Drosophila melanogaster: one gene and its partners. The protein of the gene in region 1 interacts with the protein of each later gene in a pairwise test. Each region holds a gene or a part of one and is shown on either strand. Other genes may lie near its edges.

Region 1 (7,849 bases):
AAAAGTTGCCGCAACTCGGACTCCATAATCTGGACTCGAGCATTTATGGACAAGAGCCCCGGGGCTTTACTCTTTTTAACTACAATGCTTCCATATATGAGCCCCGACCCCTTTCCACACTTGTAATCTTATCATCATTACCCCCAGCGCCTGTCAATGTCCCAGTGAAAGTGTAAAATATGAATTCCAAGAGGCTGTAATATGCCGGACTAACGAAATATTGCATCTTTATAAGAAAAATATAAGTGAAAAATAAAGAAAATAAAATAGTAGCTATACTAAATGGCAAAAATCAACAATATAATAAACCTACACTTTGAAATCGTTTAGTTTTGCAGGTTCTTAAATTATTACGTAAAAGAGTTGTTTTTGATTTTAATGACCTTAAGTTACATTTTGATGATTTATTTATTTGTTAGCTTAATTAATAAATTAAAAACCTATAAAGATGCTTAGTTAGTTCGAGGAAACTCCACGAAACTCAACATGTGTCGATCACAGAGAATTTCCTTAAATGGATTATCCTCTGGTCAGTGTTGACTTTGCTGACTTTTTGACTAACTGCTGAGAATGTGGCTAATACCGGAGATAAAGACGTTTTCCCAGCTCAAAGCCAATACCGCTTATTATGGGGGATTAGCAGGGAGAAATCCGCACATAATCCAACCGCAAGACATTCGCTCAATGAAGCGAAGGACTCTTAATGAACTGCTAGTATCCTTGTATCCTGTTGACTACCTGCTCGTTGGACATGTGTGGATCCTAGCAAAAAAGAAAGGCCCTGACATGATTTAACAATCAAGTAATTCTTTGTTCATCGAGCAGCACTAATTTGCAGTCATCTGCTCAAAATGGCATTGTTCTAAAGTGCTTCTTATCACCTCTGAGTTTGCACTCTCAGCATAAATATGAATTTGAATCTGAATTTGCATTTCGTATTTGTGTTTGCAAACTGCACGACAAATGTTTTTCCATCTACGCATTTTCGCGATTAGTATTATCAGCTCTTTGTTTGGCTGGTCAGCATATGGCAATAAAAACCAGTGGATTCGAAACCTTTGACCTGCTCGAAGATTTTTATGGCGTTAGCGAAAGGGTTTCGTCTGAGATTTATGGGTTTATGGCTTTTCGCAAAAATGTGCCAAAATAGTTCGAAGGAAATGTGGACCAGCGTTTTACGATGCCTAACCCTTTGCTTCTTGGTCATTACCATTGAGCGACTATCGTGAAAAATATTTGCATGCGAAAAAAGGAAGAAGCGGATTTTCCAGGAAAAGCCTTGCTTTGGGTTTCAATCAATGTCTGGACTTGATAGCAGCATTTGTCATGCAAAGTAAAAAATGAATGCGAAAAAAAGAACACACACGCACAAACGCATCGAGGTTGCGTTTTTCCGGCTTTTCCCAGGCCAACCCTTTACCTTTAGCCCTCGTATCTTTTGCTTTTACCTGGGCATCTTTCGAACGAGATGCTTAGATTCTTGAGACTTTTTCAGTTGCTGAAGTGTCGCCTCTTAGAGCATCTTTGAAGTAGCAGCGGCACGTGAAAATTCTCTCCAACACAAATGGCAATTAGCGTGGCTCAAAGAAAAAAACAGGAGCCGCCGCCTACGATGGACAATGGGCAGCCTGCAGAGTTTGGTTCAGCGACAGGATCGGCAGGACCTGCCATAAAGATCGCCGCTCGCACTCGTGTGCTAATGGAGGCGAAAATTTTGAGATATCTCTCCCCTTTCCACCCAGTGTTTACACAAAACTCACGCGGCGGAAGGGCAAAAATACGAATACTATCTAGAAGATACACACTACACTCAGAGAAAAGTAGGGTTTTTAAAATATATCTTCGGAAAGTTGTATTTTTAATCGTAAGTTTATGTTTCAGCTTCCAGAAAAAGAGTTATTTCAAAATTTACATTTTTTCGAGTGTACTTTCCTGTGTGTGGGTAGAGCAACAGTCGAAAAACAAACAAAAACTGCAGCCCGGGGAAATTAATAAAAAAAAATGCAACAAGAAGACCACGAAAAAATTCAACGGAGAGAGGGAAAATTAGACAAATACGAAGCAGCGGAGAAACGAAAACGCTGGAAATTTATCGCGCGCGTCATTCGCTGCAACTAAGGAAAGTGGCACGTAGACCGCGACTTCGTAGAGCGATGGTGGTGTTGGTGGGTCCGCTGGCGGGGTTATGGTCGGGGGGAGGGTGGGGGGCGGACTACGAATGGGTCATTGCACTTTTGCAACGCACTCACAGATACGAGAGCATAGCATACAACACACAGATACAGATACATTTACAGGGCCGACAGATAGCAAAGCAAAAGGCAACATTTAAACGAGAATTGTGTAAAAAAGGCACGAAAAATTAGGCGAAAGCAAACAGAAAGAAGGCGAAACAGGAAAAGAGGGGAAGAGCGGCACAGGGGGAGCTGGGTGAAGAGCGGGAGAAGGCAAACAAGATACAGATACATCTGTGCATGTGTGCAAAGTGTGTGGGGGAAGTGGCGATGGGGGGCTACCAGTGCAACTGCAACTTTGCATGGGTCGGCCATTTTGTGATCGTTTTCGCTGGCGCAGATACAAAGATATAATCTTTACAGTGAGAGAAAAGTTTATTGACAAACCTTTTAGTGTAATTTACGAATTACATATATATTATATATATTAAATACCCCATAATTCTCTAAGAATATATGTTTTCTTTAGTTTTGCTTGTGAGAAAAGTCAAAATTGAGTTGTTGACACATAAAAACAGTGCGTAAATTAAATTTTTTCTGTGTGCTAAAGACTTTATTTCTATGGGGCGTATGGCGTCAGATATAAAACTGATGTTTGCAATGATCGTTTGTATGTAACTCAAATCGCGTTTCCCGGGCGACAGTCCCTTCACGTACATATGTACATATTTATTTATATGTATATGTAGATATGACAAAGTCGTTGCAGATCCGGCCGTAGATATGCATATGCATAGATATAGATACAAAAGTACATATGCTCTCCATGAAGCGCGCAGATACGAATGCGTTGGCTATAAATAGCGAGCCATGCCATTTGTGCCGCCAGCGCCACTCGAGTGTGGCGGTTGCAGTTGCAGTTTGCCGCTCAATGAACATGTGGAAATTCGGGAAATGGAAAGCCGACGACCACGCCCCCGTTAAGTACAGGCTAGCATTTTTCGAGCGGCGCATGGGGTGCATTTTCCACGATGTTTTCACCAAAAACACGCTCGCACACAAACGCACGCACAAATGCGTTATTTTATTTTTAGCAATTTGAGGGAAATTTCAAGTCGAGCGTTGTGAATTTTTGTTCGAATTTATACGGCCATGGTCACATGGCAAGGGAAGGTGGGGGCGAAACCGCCCTCCATAGAATACGTCTGTGTTGTACTTACCTTGTTTTTCCGCTGTTGTTTTATTCACTCCATGTACATATAGTATCTGCAAGATCCAGCGACGTTTTTCGGGGTTTGTTGAGTGCGTAGAACACGTTTTACAAATGTATCTGCTGGCTGATCAGAACGCCGATTCTAACCATAATTCGATTCACATTTTCGCACATAGTCTGGCCACGTTTTCACTGGTCCTAAGTCAGCCAACATTTTAACCGGCATTATTGTGTGTTTGCTTCGATTTTCACTATATTTCACTGCAGTTTTCTTTGGTTTTTTTTTTGGCTTGGATCGAAGTGAACTCTTTGCCTTCGAATGGCAAAATGACGCAAAGTTACTAAACAACGAAAAAAATAGTATGAAAAAAGGGCAATACAACTGATTCTCGGAAGTGTTTCAGTATTCACAAGCATTCGGATGGGCACATATAACCGTGTATCTGTGTATCTGTTAGTTCGTGTATCTCGAAGGGCGGGGCAGGGTTGGCAGCGGCGATTTACATGTGTCGCTCTGCTGTAAGTTCTGGACAGACCGCCAAACTTCTGCGGCGGTACGAGCACTGACCTTGAGTTCAGGCGTTTACCAAAGGGACTGCGAGTGGAACTGGGCTTCTCGGTTTCTCTGTTTCTGAGTGGGGACTGTATAGCCGACTGAATCTGTTTTTTAATTCTTTCGCCGATTCTCGACTGCAGAGAGAGAGCTCCGCAAAAATGGCGTGTGTGTAGAAAAAAAGCTTCGACTGTACATAATATACTAGTACATAATGCCACTGACTCACAAATTGAGCAAAAAAGCAAAGTTCCCAAACTAGCGAAAAAAAAATAAATATAAATTTGGGCCTCTGGAGGGGGGAAAGCTCTTTCGTCGAGCATAGAATTATCATCGGCCCTTGGGCCCACGTAAGAATTTTGCAAATATATCAACACAGTCATGAGTCGAAAACAACAATCGACAAATAAAAAAATAACCCGCCAGTTGGCCGCTTGTTTATCTGTGAAGCGCTTTTCAGGGTCACTCTTGATTATTACACAATTTTTGTTTACAGCAAAATGCGGCGCAAATTTTTGTAATCTATATTGGTATGTGTGTGTGTGTGCGTGCGTGTATGGTTTTGGTTCTCGAGTTGAGTTTGTTGTTTACCACGAAAACAAATTCGGTGGGCCAGGGTCAAAAAGCGGCTACGTGAAAATGCGGAAGGACGGATCGCTCAATGACAATTACAGTGAAAAGCCTTGCTAACCAATGAGCGCAGAATTGTTGTTCTATTTAAAGTGTAGAACCATTTAGTAAATGCAAAAAAAAAGATATTATGAAGTCAGAATCTTAAAAATGAGCTATCTATCTATCTATTTCTATCTCTCAGATAGATAAGTGGTGGAAGTATCTGATGGATTTAAAGGTAAAGGAAGCCCTTTAAATATTTTACCCCAGACGTGAAAGCAACAAGTTGCGTCAACAGAACCACAGCCCAAACCCAAATCCCACTCACATAGATACGTTTACACACACACTTTGGTGCGAAAGCACGCCAGAATTGAGTAACAATAACAACATTCCCGCCGTCCCTAAACTTGAACTTGAATTTCGCAGCGAAAACAAAAATTCAAGAGCAAAATGCCGGCAAAAAACAACAAAAAGCGTAAAAAAACAACGCAAAAACTAGTTGCAAACAATAACAATTTCGCGTAAACAGTCAGATGCTCTCGCTCCCTCGCTCTTTGGAACCGATGGTGACCGAAGTGGAGCCGAGGGTCTTCGGTTGCCGCTCGGCAAATTGTGCAAGCTTTCGATTCGCTTTTGCGACTCGCGAATTCCCCCGAAATTCGCAAGCCGACCAATCAGAGAGCATTTTTGCACACAACAAAAAGAGCAAAACGAAAGCTTTTCGCCAAGTGTGTGTGCGCTGCTTTGTCGCAAGTATAGGTGAGCGGGCTTTTGCTTATTTTTGGCACATCGCGTATCGCCATTTTTGCGCAAAAAGTCAAAAGCTGTCTTGACGTCGTGTTTTGTCGCTTTGAGGTGATTTAAAGAATCGCCAGACACGTGGTTCTTAGTTGGGGAATAGAACACGAATGCGCGGAGCTTACTGGGCGAAAGAATCTAACCGGGAGAATTCACCAGCCACGCAGAAGAGCTTTCTGGAAAGATCGGGAGCTATAAGACTTGTTGTGGTCTTGGTAATGACGTTTAAGATCTGGAAACATTACATATAGCATTTAGTTTTTCGATAACTTCTTAAAACTTACCTTTATTTAAAGAGTGGTTATACGATTTCGTATAAAGCTAATCGATCCATTATTGCCAACTTTTTAAAATATATAACTGCTTACATGTTTCTTTTTCTGGTATATGAATTACTGATAATTTCCTGTTTTTATTCAATATTAAGTGCGTGATAAGATCACTAAACCATTGTTACCATAACCTTGAATAAATTTAACATAGTTTACGAAAGTCTAGTGCGATTAGTATTATAACATTCTGCAAGAGAAAGCTTTTATAAATTGTTTATTCATTAAGCTTTGCACAATAATAGAGCAGAAGAGATTTCTTTCTGTTACTAAAATTTTGGCAATAAACAAATTCCGATGAATTTGCTTCTCTTATGTATATATGTAAGCTTTTCTATGCAAAGTATCTAGTCAGCTTTACTGACATTAGAATTTTGCGAAGCAAAGCTTTTTGAAAAGTTAGCACTTCATAGAGGCTTGTCTGATCTAACGATCTAGTAAAGATATGAACCAGCTCTGCGCATAAAGAATTACGTATATAAGATGGCAAAGAAAGGGATTCCCATGGAATTGCAGAGCCAATTTAGTCCTTTGTTCGACACTATCATTAGCCCTCAGGTCCTTTCCCCCAATTGATGCAACCTGCTGAACACACGATCAGCTGCGATTGCAACTGCGATCCTGACTTGCAACATGTTCCCTTTTTCACCGATTTTCCTTTTTACTCCGTCCGTGTGACTTTATCGTGTGATTCTACGTCTGCGCCCCTTATTATTCTCTCGATCGAATCAAAAAGTTAACTTTTCCCAGGGATTTTCAGGCATTCGGGGATTTCATCCCGCATTTGTGCGTGTGCGAGCATCCTGTTGCATGTGGATGCGGCTGTGGCAGTGGCCCCCGCCTCTTCTTGCAACAGGAGCAGCAATCGATTTGGGCATTCGTTTTGGTTTGTCCTTCGCCCATGGTGCATAGTCCTTCGTCTATAGGATCGGGATATTCCCAGCTCTTTGTGCGCTGCTGCTGCCACAATTTCTCGTCATTCTTCTGGTGGCTCTTTGTTGGGTTATTGAACTATTGCTTCCCTTTGGGTGCACAGGTGATAATTTTTTGGGAATTTACTGCGCCATCACTTGTCGCAGCAGTTTTGGGGCAAATGGAAAACGGGTATACAGCCATATAATCGCATTAATCGCATGTTCGGCCAATATTAGTCTAACCCTTCTCGGGCTTCTATTTTCCGGATCCGTAGATGCTGGTTTCCTCGAGTTTGTCCAAGAATTTCTCACACATTTCACGTACTCGGGAGTGCAACTAAGTCAACAATTGCACGGCAGGTATCCGCATCTTGAGGCCCAAAGACAGGCGCAAATTATTTTGACAAGTGGCCGAGAAATTGTCCTCCATTGTCCAATGCCACCAACAAAGACGATTGTTGGTCTGCTGCTGGCTGAAAATGAAGAGGCGAACATCTCGGCTGCTGCAGTTGCTTTCTGAGTGACAGGCCATTATTATTATTATCTTGGGATCATGGAGATTGCAGACCAAGTGTCTTCCCTGATCGCTCGCATTGGATAAATATTGCAGCCCATTAATTACAATCAAAGTGCCACAAGCACACTCGAGGGCAATACTATCGCTCAATGTCTAATGACAACGTGAGTCGATCAATTGCCAAACTGTTTAACCCCTTTGTGGCTTTATTTGCATTTATAACGAAGTCTGTGAAACATGTCAATTTGGTTTTTTTTGAGTTCCTAAGTCTTTAACATTAATTAATTGGGTTTAGAAATTATTCTTTTGCCATTTAAATGTATTCAAAAAGATAAAGATTTTACATGTTTGGGTTCATTTAAAAGTAAAAATAATAATGATCATTGTTGGTTTCCAAACCACAAGCATTCTTATTGGCCAAAACTTAACTTTAATTGCTGCTACTGAACGTCGTTTCTAAAACACGAACTTATTTAACCACCGAAGGTCATTATAGCCAATTTAAACTGTGCTCGCTGGTACAGTCGCCGCTCTATCTATTTTCGGTTTTTATTATTTTTTCGGCGCTGTGCGGCCGGAAATCGCCAGCAATTGCACGTCCCATGTGCGTGTCTTCCAAAAATATGTGTGTGTTTTCCACTTCTGTTTTTCCCGTTTTCCTGCATTTTCCGTCGCTTCTCGCCTGTGGAATAACAAATAATTAGCATTAACCACGCAATTGAGTCGCGGCGGCGCA
Region 2 (7,542 bases), 6.8 Mb from region 1:
ATTTAGATTATGGCCCCCCATTCGCAAAGCGGAAGTCCGATGCCCAAATATTTATTGGCCACGATCGGTGTTTACAAACAAAACACGCGCCAGATGAAACAATGGCCATATATTAACCCCCACCGCTGTCGATCGAATCAGTCGGATCAGTTGGCTCCATAGAATGCCATACTTATGGGCAGTCTAGTTGGCTTTTCGGCTTTTAATGGGAAATAACGAAGCAATTGTTGGAGGCGATTATCGAAATTATACCGAATAGAGGAGCTCACTGGCCGCGCACAGTGAAGTCCAGAATGTGAGTAGTTGATACCGAATGCCTTCCAATTGATGGACCTCCGATATTAGCCAGCTAACATGTCCAGCTGCAGACAGTTCAATCCGTTCTACATTGGACCCTATCCGGAGCGTGCGTGCGGCGATTGTCCGTATGGCGAGTACTCGGGCTTCACCAGATGCGGATGGAGTGGCGGTAACGGGCCCTTTGGCACCACCTTCTGTGACTCCCGCTATGGCGGAGGAGGAGGAGGCGGCCAAGGCGGTGGAGGAGGGAGAGGTGGATGTGGAGGCAGAGGCAGAGGTGGTTGTGCGCCATCTTGTGGTCCTCGTGGCGGATCGTGGTCCTGTGGTCCCCGCCCGTATTCCCCGTGCTATCAATTTCCGTACGGAGCGGACAGCTGCATGATGTGCTCCAGTGGATTTGGCTGCTGTGGCCAATCCTGTCGCGCATCCTGCTACTCCTGCTGCTGAGCATGTACGTCTCGTGGACTCTGGACTTCACTGTTTGCGGTTAATTGGTTTCTTGAGTTATTTCTTTCTTTTTCTTTTTTTTGAGCAAAATTGATTGTAAAGCAAGAACAATTATGGTTAGCCCTTTGGGTTTATTATTATGGGCTTGGTCTTAAAATAACCAGATGCTTTACGCTCCAATCGCTAGCGAAAATCCCCTGTAATGGAATGCCCACACATGACTGCCTCTTGGTTATGGAGAACAAAGTTGTCGCCCGCGATAAATGTATGTACATCCCATACATCAAACGAGGCCACTGCGGGTGTGGAAATCCGGGCCAGAATCCGGTGTGGAGAGGAGTAGGGAGGAGAGGAGTGGAAAGGAGGTCGGCGCCGCTAAATGCGATTACAGCATAAACGATTAATTTTATTGCAGTTAGCCGAGCCGGGACGCTTGTTCCATAAACTAATTAAAGCCCAGTGGAAAGTGGACAGTGGATACATTCGCCGCTGACTTCAAAGAAAGGGTTAATTGTGCGCCTTGTGCGGAATTGGTCCCCCTTTTTCATTCCGCTCTCTTGGTTTTCCATTCTTCCTTTGTCTTTTCCGCAGACAACTGGGCAGTTTTCTTCGTTTTCTTTGTTTTCTAGGCCGAAATTACTCCGTGGCTAGATTTGGTGGGCACCACGTTCTCGTTCTGCTCCTCGACGCTACTATGGCCATTGTTGTGGCGGCTGTCATGTTGTGGGTGGCCGCACTCAGCTCTGTTTGTTTGTTTGTTTTTTTCTTTTTTTTTCCATGCTGCTCTGCGTGTTTGTCGCTTTGCTCTTTTTTCCCCTCTGCCTTCTTTTTCGTGTCACGCCTCATTTAGCTTTTCACAACATTTCCAAATTTCCACCCACCCGGTCGACACGTCGCATCGCAGCGCACGTAGTGTCGGAAATATCTGGGGATGTGGAGCAGTGGTGCCTAGTCCTCTGCACTCTCGGCTCTTAGCAGCACACATCAAAATTAACCGAAATAACCAGTGGGATGCGTGTATGCAGCTCTGTATCTGTGAACTAGATCGAGTCGCTTCGTCTTCAGATTGGAATGCCCCTCGTAATGAGCCACAATATGTTCGAGTTAATTGCATCGGATCGAAGTTGCCGCGGGGGAAATATCAACAGGCAGGCAATAGAGTCACGGTAGGCTAGGCAATTTTCCATATATAACGAATATTTGATCGTAATGGATATAAATGGATATAATAATGAGTTAAAGAAAGGCACCCCTGTGCGCAAGCTTTTGAGAATAGCTACCACTTAACAATTTCTTAGCTTACAATACAAGCCAGTAGTTAACTCAACTTGAATGCCATATTTTTCTGGAGTGATTCTATTTATGTAGGGGTATATGTAGCAACCACTTGCACTACACTTCAACACCTGATTTATGCATTTAATCGTAAAATTTAAAGATCGTCATAATGCCAATGAGTCGTAAAAACCAGCCAATTAAAGCCACTTAAATTTGGCAAATGGCAAGCGCACTTTTCCAAATGCATGGCTTTGATTTAATACCTGTGATAAAAGCAATGCGCTTAATGTTGGATCGTGGGATTATCTAGTGATTGTTCCGATTGCAGATAGTATTCGTGTATAGATGAGGGGCTCGAAAGTGAAACTCGCTGATATCGCAAGAGCATTCGATCCATTTTACTTGCCGACTTGTAGGTGGTTCGGAATGCCGCTTGGCATTCGGGTTTGAGCTTCGTTTTGAACTTCGGCTTGGCGCACCTGCCACGAGTGTTCCCCCTCTCATTCTCGCTCCCACTCCCGCACTCGCTCGCAGCCCCCTCCCTGGTGGACTCTCTCCTTCGCACCTTCGCGCGCTTGTTGGTGGGCCGGGCGAGCAGCCGCCGTTTTTCAAATGCTAAAATTGGCGATTAGTCAAAATGATGTCACCGAGTTATTTTGATTGTTTTTTTTCTTTCATTATTTCTATGTATTTATTTCGCTTGACTTTGGCATTTTGGCGACACGCTGACCATAAATTCCGTATTATTGTTTTTCCTGCTATTCGATATCACCGATTGCCAAAGGTGGGCTAAGATACAAAATGCTCTAATCTAAACACCAAGTTGCAGTGTGTGTGTGTGTGACTTTTCATTCGCACGACGCTTAATTATTCGCTGAGCTAATCATTTCACCGACTGCCATATGGCGGTATGTGATCTAATCTCAATGAGCAAAAGGTCTAGTTATTAAGGCATGCGGCTCAGTTTGATATGGAATTTTTCAACTATGCGAACTTGGATGTCAACCAGACGCAATAGTTAAGGAAATTCATTAAAACTTCAAACATTTCAGTTCCTTAAACTTATCTTGTATGAAGTATTATAGAGGAGATATCAATATACCCGTTAAGCTTTTTAATATAATTTACACAATTTCATAATTTCGTGAACGAGCGAACATGGGGCGTGGCGTGAACCACTAGACTTTCCAACGGAATGCAAATAGTTTAACTATGGTTTCCCACATAGCAAAAACAACCAAATCCGAACTTTCCTCCTAGCTGCCCGCAAACATATTTAGTTGTAAACTAAATTCCAGGCGCAACCACAAACAGGCTTGGTTCAAAGTGTGGAGGGGAGGGGGGAGTGTTTTGGGAGTGGGCGCAGGGGGGCAGACACTTTTTATGAATGAACACTGTGCGCTGCGTCGCCAACGCGTCACTCATCCGAGTTTTCCTATCGCGGAAATCTACTACGCATTTCAGTGGGTAAGTGAGGGGGGTGGAAGGGCAATCTTAGCAACATTTTATTGGTATTGTTTATGCCCGGGAATTTGGTAATATAATCCGCACATTATTTGTTGTTTACCTTTTGTAATTAGCAACCTTTTTTAATACGTCACTTTTTGTTGGGCTGCGCGGAGTTGCTGCTTCTTCTTGCTGCTCTTTCTCCTCCTTCTCCTGTTTCTCTGCACTTATCGCGTTTTATTTTCACCTGCTGTTTACACACAATAAACGATGAACGGTAAACGGAGTTGCCAAACTCGCGTTAGCGAACGAGAGAGCAAGATGCAGCGCCGAGATAGAGAGCGAAGATGCTGCGCCCTTTTGGCCTTTGGTAAAAAATATGGTAACAGAAAAACTTCTTTTTTTCGGGCTACGCTTATGGGCTCAAAACACATACACACCGACGGCAAAAACGCACACACACAAGCGAGCTCGCAGGAATTTTGAGCCTGGCTTTAAACCGCAATGCTATGCAAAACTTTTTTCTGGCTTGCCAACGGTAAATACGCAGCGCGATTTGCGATTAGCTCCGTGCGAATATCTTATCAACGGATTTTGTTTACCCAAAAACCACTTCCAACATTGCGCCGCGACACTGCTTCGACACCCACAAGCCAGCAACAACAAAATCGTTGGACAGTGTTACCAGACGACGAAGGGCTCCCAATTGAATTCGTACTAAAAAATGACACAGGTCCAACGAGCTTCTAATTTGAAATTACAGTCTTGGCACACAGATCAGAAATTGATACAGGCAATAAGCTGATTGGATCTATAATGTTAATTTCGTCAAAAATATCAAAATAGTTCATATTACGTGATATATATAGAAAATTTTAGGTGGCAGTAAAAACTGCTTTACCAAGGTGGCAACGGTAACTGGTGTGATTTTTTGCTTAATATGAAGGGCATGTTAGGTTTGTAACTTCGCTAAGTAAAACAGGATGTAAAAATAGCCTAAATTTACAAATTCTATAAGTTTGATTATACTAAATTAAATTTATTTTAAAGACGAGAGCTGTGCAGCAAACTACATCTAGATGACAGGAAAATCCATTTAAAGCATAACATATAATTTCACAGCTCTACTTGTGCTTTTAACTGCATGTAATACAGGCGTAAGTTCTACTCTGCCTTTTTATGTGCTATGGATTCCGAATCCGCCTTAGTCTGGCGTTCCTTGCGAGCTCGCTCCTTGAGCTGCGCTGTTTTTAGAGTCACCATCAGCTGCGTGGAGTTGTAGAGCCAAGTGCCCTGCAAATAAGCAAAGATAAATACACACTTCATGCAGTGGAAACACTATAACTTACAATCAAAAGCATGCAATTAAGCAAAATAGGTATTGAGAAAACTGTCGAGATAAACAGGCCGTTGCTATCGAAGTATTGTTGTCTGGAAAAGGAACTCCAGTTGTTAGCAGCGAACTCATTGATGCTTTCGGTGAAGTAGACTGCCAGCACTGAGGAAGATGAAGCACATGCAAAAATCAGAGTCATTTATCGGGTAAGTCAAGGAAGCCGCCAAGTCCACGTACACAGTACTAGGAAGAGGAAAACCTGGAAGTTGGAGCTGTTCCGGCTGAGCAGCGCAGTGGTGGTGGTTAAGATATGCGCCAAAATAAGGCCAATAAGCCAGGGATCCTTCCAATCGATCTGCAAAAATAGTGACAACTTGCCGGATTCTTGATTTTTGATTGTATATAGGCGAGTATCTTACGCTCAGCAGAAATGTCCAATAGCCATTGATCTCGTTGACCTCAATTTGCCCTGGGTGCATCGTACAGATTTTTGTGAATATAAATGTTTCCTGTATATATTTTGCGATATATTCGAAAGCCGAGTCAAAACAAACATAAATAGCCATTCGCAGCGAACAGCTGTCATTTTTCATGGCAACGCCATTTTGGGAGGCCTATAGACGTTCAGGCTTCCTCAATTTTGACTGGATCTGGTAGCGCTGTTTGTAAGACCTAACTTACTATTTTATGGGCTAAATATAACAACATAAATCAAAATACTATTATTTCGTTTAGTATGTATTACTCACCATATAAATGCAATTACAAATTTTGTGCCACCTCATTCTCACCCACCCCGACTTGTCGTGCAGAGTCGCCCTGCCCGTCATTCAGTCTGAACGTGTCGATAACGCTTTCACTGACTCAGTAGACAACATTAACAAATCCGAAAAATATCACAAAGAATTCGTTTTAAAACAGTCAAAATTGTAGTTTTTAGGGCGAATCAAATCTATTCGGGTTATTAAGTCGAACGGGCGACGTGTGAGCAAGCAATCGAAGCTAAAGCCGAGCAGGGTAATCCGAAAAAAGGGGCGCCTTAGATGTGGCACGGGCCACCGACCCTACCGTGCACCACACTCGTCTAGGACTCTGTTCTAAAGCGCTTGTGGCGGGAGTTTCTGGCCAGGATCGGGCAGGGATCGAGGCGCACTCGAGACCCGTTGAAAGGTCGCAGTCAAATCGTAACGACGACACGTAACGGAGCGCGGTTCAAGGACACGCGGCTCAGACTCCTCGCTCAGAGTCGCAGGCAACGAAAAAGCCGCTGTGTTCGGGCGCTAGGCAAGCCCACGCCTCCGCCCATCGGCAACTGGAAGTTCCAGTCGGCCCTGTGGTCCGCAAGCCTTTGTGCCACTCACGTCCACGCCCACGCCAAGCGATTGAAACGCGAAATGGCCGTTAAGCAGAATAACAGCGAGGCGGGTGATAATGCCTCGGATAATGCCGGAGGAGCTGGCAACGGCATTCCGCCCAACGCCAAACCCATGTCCGCGAACGGAATGGCGAATGCCGAAGAGAACGTATTGCCAAAGGGCATGGACACGGGTTCGCCCGCTGGCGAGAGCCTGAACTCCAACCGATCGGGCAAGCGGGATATTAAGGCCCTGCTGGCATACCTCCAAAGCATCGATATGCCGGAGCAAGGCCACAATGTGATGGCCATCTGCGAGAGGGTTATCGTGGACTTGGCCCGTCTGCAAATTCCACGAGGCGCATCCTGTCCACGCCTAAAGGAAGACGTCTGCCAGGTCGGTGCCTTTCTGGCTACGCGCAACGAGAAGTTCCACCAAATGTTCTACCTGCGTGTCGTCTACGAGCTGATCACCAAGTCGCCATTCGAGCCACCACCCTCGTGTGCCGTGGCCATTGTGTTCCAGCTGTTCGACTCCACGCAGATCCTGGAGGCTGTACACTCGCTGCTGGAACAGAATGTGCAGGACTCGAGCATTAAGAAGACGGTGAACCTGCTCTGTGATTGGATCACGTACTGCACCTTTTGCAGCACTCTCAATCTTTGGGTGCTGGCGCTGCTCAAGGGGCTAAGGGATCAGGGCAAAATGGCGCTGCTCGACGAGATTGCAATGGACAACATCGAGAAGCTGTTCCACGTGATGATCTTTCCGGCGCTGAGGCAAAAGGCCGCACCGGTTGTGTTTCACATGCTGTCAACGATTAATCAGACCCCCGAGGTTTTTCACAAGGTAAACACTTCACTCAAACATTAGCTTCAACATAATTATTGACATTTGGTTGGTTACCCTATTAGATCTTGCCAAGGATCCCACGAGTCCTGCAGTATGTGAAGAATCAGTCGACCACCATGGACGAGATTGGCCTGGAAACCAAGAAATGTCTGCAGCAACTGGTCGACCTAACCAGCGCCCTAATGCTACGTTTCTATGATCAGGATGAGCTCTATGTCGCAACCAAGAAAGCCCTGCAGACCTATGAGCCCTCTCCGAATTGCGTGGCTCTGGCAAAGGCAATGCATGAGAATGCCCAGCCGTGGGGTCGGCGGAATGCGAGGGTTGGACTCGTTAACCTGGGGAATACCTGCTACATGAATAGCGTACTTCAGGCGCTAGCCATGACCAGCGAGTAAGTAAAGATCAAATGAAGAAACCCCACTTCTAATTTCCCCAAAGTAGAAGCGCAAAATAATATCTTTGCCTCATATTTATGATTAAAACTCGGTTCTATATTTGCATTGCCTTGCCAGCACCTTTTGTTTA
Region 3 (9,147 bases), 1.1 Mb from region 1:
TCGGAGATAATGTCGAGCGATGAACTGTATCGCGTAAAGTACTCTAGTTCGCGCTATCAGCGCCAGCACACGCCCTTGAACGCCAGCTCCTTGCATTGGCAGCGCCAGCAATACGGTCATGAGCTGGACGAGATGCTCCGGCGACGTCTGCTGGCATCGCCGGCCTACGTGGACAGGCTGGAGCAGGAGGCAGTGCTCGTCGGTCACGAGGGCTGCGTCAACTGTCTGGAGTGGACCACTGATGGTATGTGGCTGGCCTCCGGATCCGACGACTATCGTGTGATGATCTGGGATCCGTTCCGAAAGAAGCTTGTTCATGTCATCAGGACCAAGCATCTGGGCAATGTGTTCTCTGTAAAATTTCTGCCCAAGACCAACAACAGCATTGTGGCTACGTGTGCAGCGGATAAGTTCATCTACGTCTACGACATCAACGACCCGAACGAGACCCTTTTTTCTTGCATTTGCCATTTTTCTCGGGCGAAGCGCTTGGCCACCGCCCAGGACTCGCCGCACGTCTTTTGGTCGGCGGGAGAGGATGGTTGCATCCTGCAGCTAGATATACGTGAGCCACATCGCTGCCGTCCCGAGGAAGGTATTGGTGTCAGGCTCTTGAACCTGCACGATCAGTTGGAGAACACAGAGGCCAAATGTCTGGCTATAAATCCCCGAAGGACGGAATACCTGGCCGTGGGCACCAACGATCCCTTTGCCCGGGTGTACGATCGCCGCAAGCTGCCCTCCACCAACGGCAATGGTGAGTACTTGAATTTGTAGGCGCTGCAGCTCATACATATGCATATTGAACTCTTATCCCTTTAAGGTCTCTCTGCCTGCGTGGCGTACTATGCACCCGGACAGATCGTGAAAAACATCAGCCGGAACATTGTCCACGAGCCACGGGGAATCACTTATCTTACGTTCAATGGCAATGGCACAGAGCTTTTGGTCAACATAGGCTGCGAGCACGTCTACCGCTTTGATCTGAATCACGCTGAGCCTCCGGTTTTCTACGATCTGCCCGCCTTCACATCAACACTCGTTCACGAGGAGGAGCCGGTGAAGATGCCACACAGAAGTCGCTCGCTGCCAACCGAAATAGAGGTGTATAAGAAGGAGGGCAATGACTTTCTTGAGAACGGCAAACTTGTAGATGCAATTGATGCTTACTCAGCGGCTTTGGCGAAATATCCACAAGGAGAGGTCCTCTATCTGAACAGAGCGACGGCTCTAATGCGACGCGGCTGGTTTGGTGATATATATGCGGCACTTAGGGACTGCCACGAGGCCCTGCGTCTGGATCCCAGTTATGTGAAGGCCCACTTTCGGCTGGCCAGGGCATTGCTTGAGCTGCATCGACCCCAGGATGCGGATCAGTGCTTGCAGGCACTAATTCAGCGTTTCCCCGACTTCGCCAACAATCACGGCGTGCTCATGCTGAACAAGGACATCAAGGAGAATCGACGACAGTCAAAGAGCCCCGAGGCACCCGAGCTACAGCCGGTGGAAGTGGATGATGGCTTCCGCTACCTGCGTCTGAAGAACGCCGAATATGATCTCCGTTCCACGGCACGCGACTATATGCAACGCTATGTGGGCCACTGCAACGTCACGACGGACATAAAGGAGGCCAACTATTTGGGCAGCCAGGGCGAGTTCATAGCCGCTGGTTCGGATGACGGCAACATGTACATTTGGGAGGGAGACACGGGCAAGATACGCGCCGTTTATCGGGCGGACAGTGCCATCGTGAATTGCGTGCAGCCGCATCCGAGCATCTGCATGCTGGCCACCAGTGGCATTGACCATAACATTAAGATCTGGTCGCCGTGCGCCGCCAGCGCCGAGGAGCGACCCAATCTCGTGGCGGATGTGACGCGTTTCGTTGAGGATAACCAGGAGAAGATGCGCCTCGATCCATTCGAACTGCACACGCGCAATGCGTACTGTTTCAATAATTAGGAACTGTGGCTTATTGTGCATCTTGATCTATATTGGCTGCATGCATGTGCAACAGCAAGCGAGATCCAATCGGCAATATATCAAATATTAGTGTAATTTAAGCTAAGCGAACATATTTTTGTTAATTTGTAAACGAATTACTCTGTATACAAAGTACGAAGCTTATGAAGGATGTTATGAAAGACTATTAAAATAAATGCAGACATGCAAATCGACCGGTTTTCGAATCGTAATTTAATGAAAAGCTCAGGATGATTTGCATTTGTTTTTTTTTTTTTTTTGTTTTAATTATTCTGTTTATTTACCGTAGTTTCTTTAAATCTATGCTCACATGTATACATATACATACATATAAATATTTTACTTTATGTAATAATATTCAAGTATAGTTTTTACTCAAGTTGTATTTTTCATTCTAACGTATTTCCTTACTCTTTTGTTTAAACTGTGTAGAACTGCTAGCTTCGCACTGAAACACCTTTTCTTCGTTTTGTTATTAATACAATATATGTATGTATCTCGCGTATGATCAGAAGTTGGGGAAAAACGCGCTTGTCCACACACAATTAATTGAAGTACAATTTTGCATTTGTTTCTATTTTATTGTTTAAATATAGATGAAAATGAGTTTGTCTGTCTGGAGGCGTGGCATGTCTGGGGTTGTAGTTAGTGGCTTAAAAACTAACCGAATGTGTTGTAATATTCGCGCCCGTCGTGGCTTTTTCCATCTACTTGCACATTTCACACTATATTTATAATTATCTTTATATATTTTAAATGGATCTTCTTTAATTACTTTACAAAAGTGCGTTTTTTGTTTTGTTTCGTTTCGTTATGTTTTGTTTTGCTTTAGGGGCTGCTGTCCATATCGTTTTATTTATACAGAGTGGTTTGTATTGTTAATAATATATTACAAACTATTTTATGCAGAAATTAAACAAAAAGAATTCAAATCGAGTTCTGTGGGGTTGTCGGTAAGTGTTGTTTTTTTTTTTTTTGCAATTTGGTTGATCAGATGTGAATGAGCGGGTGTGGGAGTGGGCGGGCGGATTTGGCCTCCACCTCTACTTTACAGGCTAATCATTTCAATCTGTCCAGCTTTAGCTTTGTGTGGTCATTTGTTGGCGTTCTTCATCCTCCTCGTGCACTCTTATATGAATTTGTATACCAAATGTCGTTCTCGTAATGTTGTTTCTTTTGCCGCTGGTTGGAATTTTGTTTTCTTGCGTACATATAAGTTTCTTATAGTTGGTTGTTGTTATTTATTATGTATTTTTTGTTTCGATTATTGTTTAATACCATCAACCTTCCCGCTTTATCGAACTGGGTGTCTCTGCGAGGCCTTTCACTTTGAGGCGATCGGCGGTCTTAAGAAATGCTGGCAATTGTTCCTGGGACACGTTCACCTCACCGGCGTACATGAACTCCAGTATAGCCTGTAGGTGAATGTAGGAGACATCTTTCAGGATAATGATCGGATGCTTCGATGGGTTCTCCTGCGGGTGCATACATTACATTATCAAACGATTGCTTAGTTATTACCGCGTGAAAAACTCACCTCCAGTAGCGCTTTAAAGTAGGGACTGCAAGCGGAAAGCACCATTTTGTGGGCTTTGCAGGTTTGGCCCTCGCAGGCGAGTGTTACCTGTGAACAATAAGCATTGGGAAATCAGTAAGATCCGCCAGGCATTTTCACCGCAACAAATTGAACAAAAACGCAGAGCGAAGAACGAACACAGGTAAAAGAAAAACGAATTGAAAATAGCGTGAGGGCCAGGTATCTGCTACTCAGACCAACTGAGCTCAGCCGGTGACTGACCCTCCACAAGGGGCGGCCGCGAGCCAATCGGGCCAAGAGTAGCATAATAAACCTCAGCGCGCCCCTGGGACTGGTTAACTACAGTCGAACTTCTATGGCTTGATTTTGACTGAATTTATAAGTAACTTCAAAATATATTGACATCTAATATCATCATTCTAACTAATAGTTCGACTGCAATAGTTTTTCCATCGCCGCTTCTGGAAAGTTTCATTTGGTTACTCACATCTGTGAAGCTCTTCTCGTCGCGCAGGTGACGGAACGAGGTCACCATATTCGTTTGAAAATCGTTCCATTTTAGAAAGAACTGTTGATCCGACGACATCATGAAGAAGCTTTTGTTTTGTGGGGGCGTCGCGCTCGCTGAACAGAATGCTGGGAGGGGGGTGGGCAGGAGGCTTAATTTGGACTAGTGACCGAAAGGTTCACCGTTAGATGGTCTTAATTCGCAGCGGACCGCTTAATCCGTGGGTTTTCGCTTGGGTTTTCTTTGACGCACTCTGCAAGAGAAGTAAACAGACAGCATTAGTGAACGAACGGTAACGGCAAGGCAGAGTAAGACAAACAAACAACAGCTTGGCGAAATTAGCAGTGAACGTTACGAGAGCATTGCAAAACAGCACGTCTCTTGGCCAAAAGTATTCTGCAAATATAAATGTGCTGCGGCGCATGTGCAGCGTTTGTGCAGTGGGAAATGGGAGTTCGGAATGCACAGCGTTGTTACTCTGTACATGTGTGAGTGAGCTGGAAAATGTCAAAGTGCTGAGACAGCGCTAAATAAAAACAGCAAACAGCTGCCAGCAAAGGTTAAGCAAAGAGGCAAAAATATCAAATCGTCGCTGGCTCGCTCTGTTGAATGCCTTTCACTTTTCAAGGCAATTTCTGCATTTTCAGTCGTACACACATGTGTACTTATTGCTTATTTGAATTCGTATGCGGCACAGTGGCTTAGAACGCGGAATTAGTCTGTTGCACGCGATGCACGCTGCAGCTGCCGATGGCAATGTATTTTTAGGCGCACTCCAGTTAAATAGCATTCATTCCGTGATTTTTGACCAAAAAAGAACCAAGATGGCGGCACCATTCGCACTTCCATTCAGTGACTTTGTCTTAATTTCACTCCCACTCCATCCCACTGTGCGGCCAACATGTGTTTTTCTTCTTGAGGAAATAGCGTTGTTGTTGATGCGACTCTCATATGCGCTACACTGGCAGCCGGCTGTATGTTTCTGCGTGGGCGGGGGAGAGCAGGGCATATAGTTTGCCGCCAGAGCTTAAACTTTAGTCTCACGCTCTCTGTGTCCCTCGTTCTCTTTCGCTAAGCGCTCTCAACTTTCAACTGCCGTTATGATTTCGCAATTACATTACAACAACAACAACTTAAAAGGCAGAGCAGACATCGCTGGAAATTCAGCTGCATAAGTGTAAGTGTGTGGCTGTGTGCGAGTGTGGGTAGGCGGCGGCAACTATCTCGCTTGCTCTTGCGCCCGGGGTTATCGGTAGCTTCTTCTAGGCTGAGTGCATTTCGTTGAATCATGGATGTTGAAAGTTGTCTAATTTCCGAACTATTGATTTTTCCCCTTCCCCGTCAAGAAACTGCATTGTTGCTTCTTGAAGACCAGTTTTGGTAACATCAGGAGAATGGAAAGGAGCGAGTGAGTCGGTGAGTAAGTGAGTGAGCGATGCGAGCGACAAAATCAACAACAACAACAACAACAACGGTTCAAAACGAGTTCCAACGAAAGTTGCAACACTCTCAACAATTTGAGCAGCTCCGTTTGTTGTTATTGCATTACTCAATCGGGAAGAACTCTACACTCGACGGAATAGTGTGCTCGTCTGAGATTTATTCTATTTCAATTCTTTTCTTTTGTTTTTGGTCAGACAATGGCGTCGGCAAACGTTCGTGGAAAGCCGCAGGAACCACCAAAATGCCTGGCGTCACATTAACCGAGCCGCCTTTGTTTATGCAAATATTATTGTAATATTTGGTTAAAATTAGGTCGCGCTTCGCGTTACTTTTTATTTCATATACACGCAGCAGCAGCACGCATACAGTCACGTCACGCACACATACAATCGCCGTTCACATACACTTGTCTTTTTTCCACACACTTTCCTAATCATTTTATTTGTTGTGCGCTGCTGCTTTTTACTCGGCGTGTACTCTGTACTTTTACCAATGCGTATATCGCCTGCCGACCGCCGCAGGAGCACGCTAATTGCGCCGTGGACACGCTTTTTCTATATCTTTTTGTTTCAATTTTAATACATACACGCTTTTTTTTTGTCCCGCACTTAACTCACCTCTGCTTTCTCGCTAACGCTGCTTTCTTTTTTCTCTTTCACCGATTTCGATTTTCGATACACTCGTGATTGTTCGATATGAATCGGCCTAATTTCGATGCGTTTTGTTTTTTTCCAGTTAATGAACACAAATTAATGTACTGAAATATCTTTTATTCGATTTATAACACAAAAAGCATTGCTTGAATTGATGCTTGTTATTTTGTACGCCAAATAATATAACAATCGTTCAGATCTATCGGCTAGCAGCCCTGACTATGTAAATGGTTTCGTAGCAAACGGCTTTAGTCTGACACTGTGAGAATTCTTGTGGGCATTGCAAAATGTTTAAAACCACACGTTTATATAAAATTATAAATAAAAATGTGGTTATCACATGTTCGAGGCGGCAGAATACCGCCGCTGAAGTGGGACAGAGCTTTCGGCAGAGGGCGTGGCTGCTCGCCAGAGAGCGGTACAAGGATCATGAGCACGTTCATTACAGCTCTGTTCTGGAGACCAAAATAAAACCCTCTTTCTCGATTCCTGAGACACAACAGCATTTGCCCGACGACTGGATGGACGACTACGAGTTCTATCAGGGCGCCCAGGAGGGAGGGAATAAGCAGGGCACACCGGATCCTTCGTTACCCGCCTCAAAGGTTCCATGCAACGGCTGCGGCGCAGACCTTCATTGCACGAATGCCTCCCTGCCAGGCTATATACCAAGTGAAATATTCAGGGATAGGACGCAGCAGGAACTGCAAACGATCACCTGCAAGCGTTGTCACTTTCTGAACCACTACAACATCGCATTGGATGTGGTGGTGGCCCCATCGACCTATGTGGACACCATATCCCGCATTCAAGACAAATTTGCACTGGCTATTGTTCTGGTGGACCTTCTCGATTTTCCCTGCTCCATTTGGCCGGGCATGCAAAACATATTGGGCGCAAAGCGACCCGTCTTCCTGGTGGGCAACAAGGTCGATCTGCTGCCGCGCGACTCCAACATCTATCTTCAGCATATTAAGGATTCTCTGCAGCGCGAGTTCATCAAGCATGGCGGTGGAAATGGTCTAAATATCAAGAATGTCAGTTTGATATCCGCCAAAACGGGCTATGGCATCGAGGAGCTAATAACGCAGCTGCACAAAACGTGGGCCTACAAAGGCGATGTCTATCTGGTGGGCTGCACCAATGTGGGCAAGAGCTCGCTGTTCAACATTCTGCTTAACTCGGACTACTGCCGGCCGGAGGCCAGTGACCTGGTGCGCAAGGCCACCACCTGTCCGTGGCCGGGCACCACACTCAAACTGCTGCGGTTTCCAATCTTGCGTCCATCGAACGATCGAGTCTATCAGCGCTTTAAGAGATTGGTTTCGGAGCGCAGCGAGAAGGCGGAAATGGAAAAGGAGCGTCGCGCAGTGGCAAGGGAAACGGGTTCAGCGGCAGCTGCTCAACCAGTGGCTCCGGTTGGACGCACCTTCGATCGACGCGAAAATCTCCATGATGCCTTTGCCATGGCCGGTGGCTCGCGACCGATTACAACGCTAAACGATCGGGGCAAGGAGTACAAGGAAGCGCGTTGGGTCTACGACACACCGGGTGTGATGCAACCCGACCAAATATCTCCCCTGCTCACCGCCGAGGAGCTGGTAAAGCTGCAGCCCGCCACCATGATCCGACCGCGCGCCTTTCGGCTGCGGCCCCAGATGAGCATACTACTGGGCGGTTTGGCCAGATTGGATCTGCTGGAAATAACAAGCCCAAGGAAACACTTTGACTGGCTGAAGGTGTTTGTATTTGCCTCAGAGCATCTTCCCATCATGATAGCAGATACACAGGAGGCGGAAAGCGTGTACAAAAGATACGTGGGTTCGCCCTTTCTGGGTGTTCCCTTCGCTAGCGAGAACTTGGAGGCCCGCCTGCGACGCTGGCCGGGATTGCAATGCAAGGATGGGGATATTGTGCTGGCAAGTGAAGGAAGGAACGAGGAAACGAGGCTTAACTGTGATATTACGCTCAGCTCTGCGGGCTGGATGGGAATCCTGCTGCCGGGCCACTCGGAGTGTCGTCTACGGGCCTGGACACCAAAGGCGGCAGGGATTTACAGACGTGAACCGGCTTTAATACCTTTAGCCGATCGATTGGTTGGCAAGCACATAAGGTATTCCCTGGCCTACAACACCGCCAAGCCCTTTGTTTACAAAAAATAAAAAACAAATTGTTTATAAATTGTAAATAAATACAATTGTTTAAATTACTTAATAATATATTCTACCAAACTAAAGCAATTTGCACCGCTTTAGTTATTTTCAGCATACCCCGATTTTTATAATAAAGTTTGTGCTATTATATATTATATTTATGAACTTATAAATTTAAATATAGTTTCAAAACCCGTAACGGCGCCAAAAAGCAGACCCTTGCTTAACGTGCTTTGCAACACTGGCTACTCGCTACTCTTTTTTAAAGCGAGTTGGCAGCGCAGCGTACATAATCGGTGCTGCCGTTTTTTAATAAAAGATAAAAGCTGTTTATGGCTACATGGATTTTGGATATCATGAACATAGCACCTTTAGATACAATAAGCTTAACTTAACAGTATAGTAAAGAGTGTAAAAATATAACTCAAATAAAGTGCGTTTGGATATTTAAGAAAATGCTGACTAATTAAAAAACAGACGTTTATGTTCTTATCTTCCCGCCATGCGCAGCACTATCCTGCGACTAAGCCAGATCTGACGGGAATAAAGCTGAATCGGCAGCACTGCCGCAAGTATCCACTTTTTCACGGGCAACAAATTGACAAAGAAATTGTAAGATAATTTCCTGTGGCGATTGCTGCTTGCGCAAAGCCACTTGCCTTGAAAGCGGGCTTAAACAGAGTCCGGGCCAGAAGTTAAATATTGCAGAGAGCTTGCATACCGTGTAATTTGCGAACTGCGACGCACCAAACTTTTTTTTTTGTATGCCGTGAGCTGAGCGGAGGTGGAGATCGGGAGTTCGGAATCCGGAATCGGGAATTGGGCATTGGATATCGGGACGGGAGCCACACGAAAGAGTCGGCGGCAATG
Region 4 (7,695 bases), on another chromosome or scaffold:
TTAGTTTTTATCGTTTGCCCACCCTTTAAAAAACCTTTAACAAAAATTTTTTTTCGATTGCCCACATTTAAAATACAACCAATTTCCTTAGCCAACCTCTTTAAAATAAAAATTTCCAATAAAAAAAGTTTGCCCACCATTTAAAACTAAATAATTTCGATTGCCCACCTTTTAAAACTAAATAATTTCGTTTGCCCATCCTTTAAAATTCATTTTTAACGTTTGCCCACCCTTTAAAAATAAATTATTTCGTTTGCCCACCCTTTAAAATTTGTTTTTTTCGTTTGCCCACTCTTAAAACTAAATAATTTCGATTGCCCACCTTTTAAAACTAAATAATTTCGTTTGCCCATCCTTTAAAATTCATTTTTAACGTTTGCCCACCCTTTAAAAATAAATTATTTCGTTTGCCCACCCTTTAAAATTTGTTTTTTTCGTTTGCCCACTCTTAAAACTAAATAATTTCGATTGCCCACCTTTTAAAACTAAATAATTTCGTTTGCCCATCCTTTAAAATTCATTTTTAACGTTTGCCCACCCTTTAAAAATAAATTATTTCGTTTGCCCACCCTTTAAAATTTGTTTTTTTCGTTTGCCCACTCTTAAAACTAAATAATTTCGATTGCCCACCTTTTAAAACTAAATAATTTCGTTTGCCCATCCTTTAAAATTCATTTTTAACGTTTGCCCACCCTTTAAAAATAAATTATTTCGTTTGCCCACCCTTTAAAATTTGTTTTTTTCGTTTGCCCACTCTTAAAACTAAATAATTTCGATTGCCCACCTTTTAAAACTAAATAATTTCGTTTGCCCATCCTTTAAAATTCATTTTTAACGTTTGCCCACCCTTTAAAAATAAATTATTTCGTTTGCCCACCCTTTAAAATTTGTTTTTTTCGTTTGCCCACTCTTAAAACTAAATAATTTCGATTGCCCACCTTTTAAAACTAAATAATTTCGTTTGCCCATCCTTTAAAATTCATTTTTAACGTTTGCCCACCCTTTAAAAATAAATTATTTCGTTTGCCCACCCTTTAAAATTTGTTTTTTTCGTTTGCCCACTCTTAAAACTAAATAATTTCGATTGCCCACCTTTTAAAACTAAATAATTTCGTTTGCCCATCCTTTAAAATTCATTTTTAACGTTTGCCCACCCTTTAAAAATAAATTATTTCGTTTGCCCACCCTTTAAAATTTGTTTTTTTCGTTTGCCCACTCTTAAAACTAAATAATTTCGAAAATATTTTATTCCAGAATTTTCTTGAGCTTGGAGAGTGTTGATAAACATACATACATTTTTTTGCATATATATTATATTGCAATATAAAATATTTTCCATGAAATGAAACAATGATTAAGAAAAATTGATGTTACAATTCATGAATGATTAACACTATGGATATATTGAAAATGTATGTAAATATGTAAATAACTGTTCTTTTGTAAGTAACTGTGCTTTTGACGCCACATCTTACAATTATTACATACATATGTACAAATTTATTTTTAATAGGTGAAAAATCGAAAAAACCATTTTTAAGAGGTGGGCAAACGAAAAAAACAAATTTTAAAGGGTGGGCAAACGAAATAATTTATTTTTAAAGGGTGGGCAAACGTTAAAAATGAATTTTAAAGGATGGGCAAACGAAATTATTTAGTTTTAAAAGGTGGGCAATCGAAATTATTTAGTTTTAAATGGTGGGCAAACTTTTTTTATTGGAAATTTTTATTTTAAAGAGGTTGGCTAAGGAAATTGGTTGTATTTTAAATGTGGGCAATCGAAAAAAAATTTTTGTTAAAGGTTTTTTAAAGGGTGGGCAAACGATAAAAACTAATAATAATTGTTGGGCAAACGTTTTTTGTTGATAATATTTGGTTTTAAGAGATGGGCAAACGATTTACTCTCTGATTAGACCGAGGTAAACTTAAAAGCCTTATATTTTCTAAAGTATACATTTTTTCAAAATTCTAAAGGGTGGGCAAACGTGGGCAAACGATGTTATTGCGATTTAAAAAAAAAAAATTTTGAAAAAAGCGAAATTTTTGATTTTCGAAAATTTTCGAACTTTTTCGAAAATTCATATCTCAAAAACTGGACGTGGGCAAAAAAAACTAATTGGTGGGCAAACATGGGCAAAAAATGGGCAAACGATTCCAGCTTTCAAATTTCAAAAATTCGATTTTTCCGACCCCAGCTTCTTTGAGCTATGTCCGTCTTGTTTATGCCAATAATAAATAGATAATTTTGGAGGATTAGCATTGTATTGGGGACTGTGACTGTTGGCCAGATATAACCACTTGGAACGGCACAGTGTGGATTGATTTACACGTCCGGAGCAGCGGAAACACGTATATATGTTGCGAGGCTCTCTAATCAATATCTCGACTAAACTAAATTCTTCGAGTGGCTGTAAGGGTGAAGGAGTGGGCGGGCGGGCACTCAGTTACTCAGTTGGGCAATAAATGATTGTTAAACGCGATAAAAAGATAAAAAATATTTCGACTATTGTTGTTGTTTCTGCGTGTTACACACGGAACAAACACATAGCCATTTGGCTTGTTAGCACCTCGATGACTGTTGTTGGCTGGGCTGGTCTACATTTAATAGCTTGCCCCCGCTTGGGTTCGCCGTTATTTATAGGGTATATTAATATTCTTTATCTTTGGAAATACCTCTTGTAGCAGCGTTTGTGGGTAGGTAGCACCTTCCTGCAGCTACTTGAAAAGATAAAACCTTATTTTTTATGGCCGCCTGATCAGATAAAGCCACCGTGCAGCAGGCAGCCGTGTTCAACACGACTGCGAACGAAATCGGAATCGTACCGACCAGGAGGGGCCGCGGCGATATCATATCCATACACCATATAGCGTACATAAATAGTAGTACACCACCGTTCTAGAGTCCATTTGAAGTACATTTGATGAGGTCAGCAACGCACCCAATCTCCCCGATCCGATCGAAGTGGGCTGCGGCTCCGACTCTGCGCTCTCTTGCCATGGACCTTATCACGATACTCCCTCCGCCGGTGGATACTCCGTGCGTGGCGTGGGTAAACAATCCCGGTGTGCCTCCGGAGGCGGAGGACTCCGGCAGCTACCACACAGGCATAGACAACGCGGCGGCACTCCGGCTCACCGGAGGATTATCACCAGACCTCGATTCTTAGTGGGTTGCTGCTGTTTGTCTTTAGATTTACGACTCTACAGTCAAACTTCACTAACTGGAACATGAATCAGAAACGGACAGATATTACGAATTGGATTATATTACCCTGAATTGGATTAGTAAATCAAATCGGTTATCAAATGATTACAGTTCATTACAAAGTCTTTAGATAACTGTAGGCTGGATAAACCTTAATGCATTTGCATAAACGATTTATAATCTTCCTAATATCGCTGCACTACTTAATTTTAATGGGCGATCCATCAAACGACTAACAATATTATTCGATTGATTACTTTGTATGCTAAAAAAAAGGCAAGTTAGGCTTATGAAATAAAGTGTAAAGTTAATAGGGCGGGTATAGTTGGATTTATGGTAGCGATACTGTAAAGACAGACGTAGTCGTGCTGGGACGCTCGTCTGGAACTCGGAATCGAACTGGCGGTGGAGCTGGGCTGATAACCACCGAATGTGTCATGGAATTTAACACAAAGGTTGATTTATATCTAAGCGTTTGACAAGAGTGATGAACAGACAGGCTGACGGGCGGGCTCCTCGATAAACTGACACCGCTGTCCCAGTGATAAACTGACCGATTTCTGGGGGAATATGCTTGACCAAGTAACCAGCAGTCACTCTTCCCTGGCATTATACAGACTATGTATGTATGTGAAGGGTATGAAATAGCCCAGCGAATAGTCAGACTCTTTTCCGGCTTATTAAAATTCCAAGAAAATATGTCTACAATGTATTTGCAATGCCAAGAGCCAAGCAATTTGTAAGAAACCCGAATCCTTCAGTTACGCACTCAATGTTCCATTAGGATCATCCATATGCATGGCAACGAAAGCTCGGAACATTAAACTTGACCAATTTCTGGAAGACCACTTCCGTGCCCAGTATCAAAATACACATATAAATGCCGCGCTGACAATGTAAGCCACGCTGCATAACTTAGCATTTAAACCGGGGACGCCGGCGATGGGGCCGCAATCTTGTGCTGCCTAATCGGTGTACTCACTGATGGGATGCTTGCAGGGATTGGTAGTGAATATCTCCTGGAAGTAGGGGCTGCAGATAGCCAGCACTATCTTGTGGGCATGGAGGAGCTTTCCATCGCAGGCGAGGGTCACGTCCACCAGGTCGCCGCGGTCGTACAAATTCTGGAAGCCGCTGGCTATGTTGTCCTGGAAGTTCTTCCAGCACAGCTTAAACTCGTCGTCCATCGCGGATGCGGATGCTCGCCGAAAACCAGACTTTTCCAATTCCAATTGGGGAGCGTAATTTATGCGCACAGACTTTTGCGATGATTCTCGTGCGAATCTGTTTTTTATGGCTTTTGTTTATCCGCTTTGCTCGTGATTCGTTCACGGGCCAAAAATCGCAATTCACGTATTCTCGCGCACCTTTATTTTTATTATATCAAGGGTTCGAATTTGATAAACTAGCTACCAACTACTCGATCCGCATTCACGCGCACACGATCTCGAGTCGTTCGCGTCCACGGGCGCATTGATTTTGATTTGGGCTCTAATTAACACAGTGTGATTTAAACATTTTTATCGGAAAGCGTGAAAAGCAGCGACGCTGTTTACGTTCCGGCTGATAATGAACGCACCACCCCCCCGCACTTTGAGGAACAGTGAAATGTTGGTTTTTTAGGCGCCACAGCGAACGGTCTCACTGGCCACTGGTAAACAAACGAAAATGTTTGCTGAACTTTAATTCCAGCTATAAAAATTTGATTAACAATCAAAACTGTTATCACAAAGAAAAACGTTAGAGAGGAATGAAATTCTGGGATTTTATACAGAAATAATAATTCTAAAGAGATTATAAATCCTGCAAATATATATTTTTGTAAAATGTATGTTAACTACTAATTTGTTAAAAATGTTCGCAATTACTACGTAAATTGCTTGAATTGTCAAATGCTTCTAAGCGTTTTTGAAATCTGGCCCACAAGAGCGGAATTTTCAATCGATAGCCTTTTCGATAAACGATATCATAACGACAATTGAATATTTAGCGCCAATTAGAGAGCATTGAAAACGTTTTCCCCTGATAAGAGCTTATCGCAATTGGTTTGTTGGTCGCTTCGTTGCGGTTATATCCGACCGGCATTGTCCGCTTTTATCACAGTTCTACGGTTCTTTGCACGATGCTAATACGGCCGATGGGGAACTACACTGTTGATAGCAGACCTACCCATGGTGTCATAAATAACCCACTTTACATTTTAAACAAAAAGAGAATAAAAGTAACAGCAGGGCTTATCAATTAGCCATGAGTCGTTTGTACGCCTCAGGTGCACACATACGCACCCAGTCAATTGGCCACCGATTTGATTTGCCCGATTTAGTGCTCAAAGAACTTTCAGCAAATTAGCCCACTCGTCCCGAGAATCAGTAAAGAGTATACCATAATGGGTTGTTGTTTTGGTAAGTGATTTGCAGCTATCTTCAGAAGGCAATAACAGCGACTAATAATAGTTGTGTACTTGCAGGCAAAAGTAAATCAGTCGATTTGCCCGCGGTTCCGCCGGCTCCAGCCAAACAACGCTCCACTCTGCCAGAATTCCCGATTTCTGGATCGGTGACTAGCACGGCTCCTGCAGGATCTGGATATGGATCTGGAGGAGCCACCAATGCGGCCCTCGAGGATGACTAGACGTGGTTAAAGGAACAGAAAAAACGTTCACGTCCAGGGAAAACTGTAAATTTGCCAAATGGCAGATTGGATTATGAGTCATTCCGTGCCGAGATGTGGTTTTTTCAAAGTTGTGCACCCTTTGTAGTTAGTATTGTAGTAAAATACGTTGTTTATTGTTGGAGAGTATAAAATTGTTGGTAAATTAAATCATAACTTTAATCTCTTTGAATAAGTTGCTGTTCTGTTTTTTTTCCTGTTTCGCCAGTTTATATTTTAGCGCGCCAAGTGTCGCCCTATACAACACTGAAACAAGGGCGGTATTTTTCGGTATTTTAAAAAGGGTCATACCATTCTCTGCCAGCACGTGTGTGCGGCTGTTTTTGTGTTTAACTTAAATTTTAAACGATTTATGCTGTAAATAGGCAAATATAATTTATAATATTATTATTAAAGCAAAATGGCCATTCAACCCAATCGAAGAAAGAGAAGGCACGAGGAGACAACTGCTGAGCAAGAGGATGAAGGTGAAGTGGAGGTGCCCAAAAAACTGGCCAAGGAGTCCGACACACCGAAGAAAAAGAAAAAGAAGGATAAAACTAAGGAATCATTCGATGAATCCACGCTGGAAAGCACTGAAACCGATCCTGCTGACTCCACTCCATCAAAGAAGAAGTCTAAAAAGACAAAGACATCCGACACAAGTGTAGAACAACAGGTGGAAGTGGAGATGGCTGAGGATGAAATAAGTCGCGATTCCGGGATTGATCCCGAAGAATCCCGCATACACTTTCCCAACGACTTTAAGATGATGCACTTTCGAACCAAGCTTCGCGGCAATAACTTCATAACAGGTGGGTTAATACGTTCAATAAAAGATCGCTAACTCACGAATCCCAATTCCAGAACTGCGACACTTCCTGCACATGTGCTCAACCACGCGTCCTAAGCTTGCGGCTAAGTACATAGAAAAGCGTGGAAAGCCCTTGGAGTTAGCAGAAGCATTCGAAAGGATCGATAAGACTAATTTATTTCACGTGGACTACCTCACAGAGGCTTTGCACCGAGTTTTGATGGAAATACTTACCAACCAGAAGAGCCACATGGAGTCGGCTGTCCACGGGTGTAGATATTTTCTCAAGGTTCACGGAGGAGTGCTCGAAAATCAAATGAAATCAATGCAGCTAGGCCATCGGCGTAATGCCCTAAAACTGCTCACCGCTATTGTGTGCGTGGAGCCTCAATTGGCCCGCCAAGTTCTGAATTCGTATGATGTGCTTTCCAACGTGACTGTGACGCAGAAATTGCTGTCCCATGAAAAAAGTGAATACCAATGCGAGGATACAGTGCGCAAAGCGTTTATTCTCTTTATTTTGGCCTTCCTGGTCGAGGGCAATACTCTACTTATCCGGAACATCCTGGATCGAGGGCAACTAATTGGTGTGCTGGCCAAGGGATTGGTTTACGATGACCACGTAACCGTCTGCGTGGTGCTTAACGCACTACGGCAATATGTGCTGGAGAACCCCGAAATACAGAAGACCAAAAAGGTTCTGGTTTTCGATTTAGAGTGCTGCAAAAATCTGCGTCGCCTCTACGATTGGGAGGGACCCATGGGACTCAAGGTGATGTTTGCTAAATCGAAACATGTTTCTAAGATACCTCCAAACCCACAGGAGGCGGAAGCGGTATCGGCTGCCGTTCACGAACTCCTGCTAGTCCTTTTGACTTCCCGCAAGCACGGCATCTGCTTTGATGCGATGACGCACTACCGCCAAAAGCAAAACAAACTGCAGGGCAGATTACTTGGCTCTCTATTCAAGCCCTACGATAATCCGCGCAAAGTGGATTTGGTTATTCAAACACTAACTGCTTGTCCA

What was found.
Region 2: the proteins of rib (region 1) and Dyb interact in a two-hybrid assay, tested with the Drosophila melanogaster proteins (one large-scale study listed by BioGRID).
Region 3: the proteins of rib (region 1) and lolal interact in a two-hybrid assay, tested with the Drosophila melanogaster proteins (one large-scale study listed by BioGRID).
Region 4: the proteins of rib (region 1) and CG34376 interact in a two-hybrid assay, tested with the Drosophila melanogaster proteins (one large-scale study listed by BioGRID).

The regions. Positions count from the first base shown.
Region 1 is NT_033778.4:19,266,332-19,274,180, reverse strand, and holds the start of rib (ribbon), read right to left. Parts: upstream 4,104-7,849; 5' UTR 3,395-4,103; intron 1-3,394.
Region 2 is NT_033778.4:12,433,941-12,441,482, reverse strand, and holds the start of Dyb (dystrobrevin), read right to left. Parts: upstream 4,139-7,542; 5' UTR 4,094-4,138; coding exon of another isoform or gene 4,074-4,093; 5' UTR 3,593-4,073; intron 851-3,592; exon of another isoform or gene 748-850; coding exon of another isoform or gene 355-747; exon of another isoform or gene 346-354; intron 296-345; coding exon of another isoform or gene 294-295; exon of another isoform or gene 163-293; intron 1-162. Other genes in the region: CG30334 (uncharacterized protein), read left to right, coding at 355-747; Tmem18 (transmembrane protein 18), read right to left, coding at 4,636-4,764, 4,821-4,969, 5,045-5,162, 5,227-5,286; DUBAI (deubiquitinating apoptotic inhibitor), read left to right, coding at 6,202-7,011, 7,077-7,408.
Region 3 is NT_033778.4:18,151,885-18,161,031, forward strand, and holds lolal (lola like), read right to left. Parts: upstream 6,135-9,147; 5' UTR 6,058-6,134; exon of another isoform or gene 5,876-6,057; intron 5,009-5,875; exon of another isoform or gene 4,863-5,008; intron 4,496-4,862; exon of another isoform or gene 4,282-4,495; 5' UTR 4,110-4,281; coding exon 4,008-4,109; intron 3,608-4,007; coding exon 3,521-3,607; intron 3,459-3,520; coding exon 3,264-3,458; 3' UTR 2,211-3,263; downstream 1-2,210. Other genes in the region: adp (adipose), read left to right, coding at 10-757, 824-1,962; CG10914 (uncharacterized protein), read left to right, coding at 6,412-8,286; Naus (nausicaa), read left to right, coding at 9,145-9,147. UniProt on the Drosophila melanogaster protein: Required, together with Trl, for maintaining the repressed state of target genes including homeotic genes Scr and Ubx. May also be involved in the activation of homeotic genes. Binds to a DNA Polycomb response element (PRE) at the bithorax complex.
Region 4 is NT_033777.3:22,445,113-22,452,807, reverse strand, and holds the start of CG34376 (uncharacterized protein), read right to left. Parts: upstream 4,710-7,695; 5' UTR 4,393-4,709; coding exon 4,188-4,392; intron 1-4,187. Other genes in the region: CG34288 (uncharacterized protein), read left to right, coding at 5,592-5,607, 5,673-5,836; CG12499 (uncharacterized protein), read left to right, coding at 6,276-6,669, 6,722-7,695.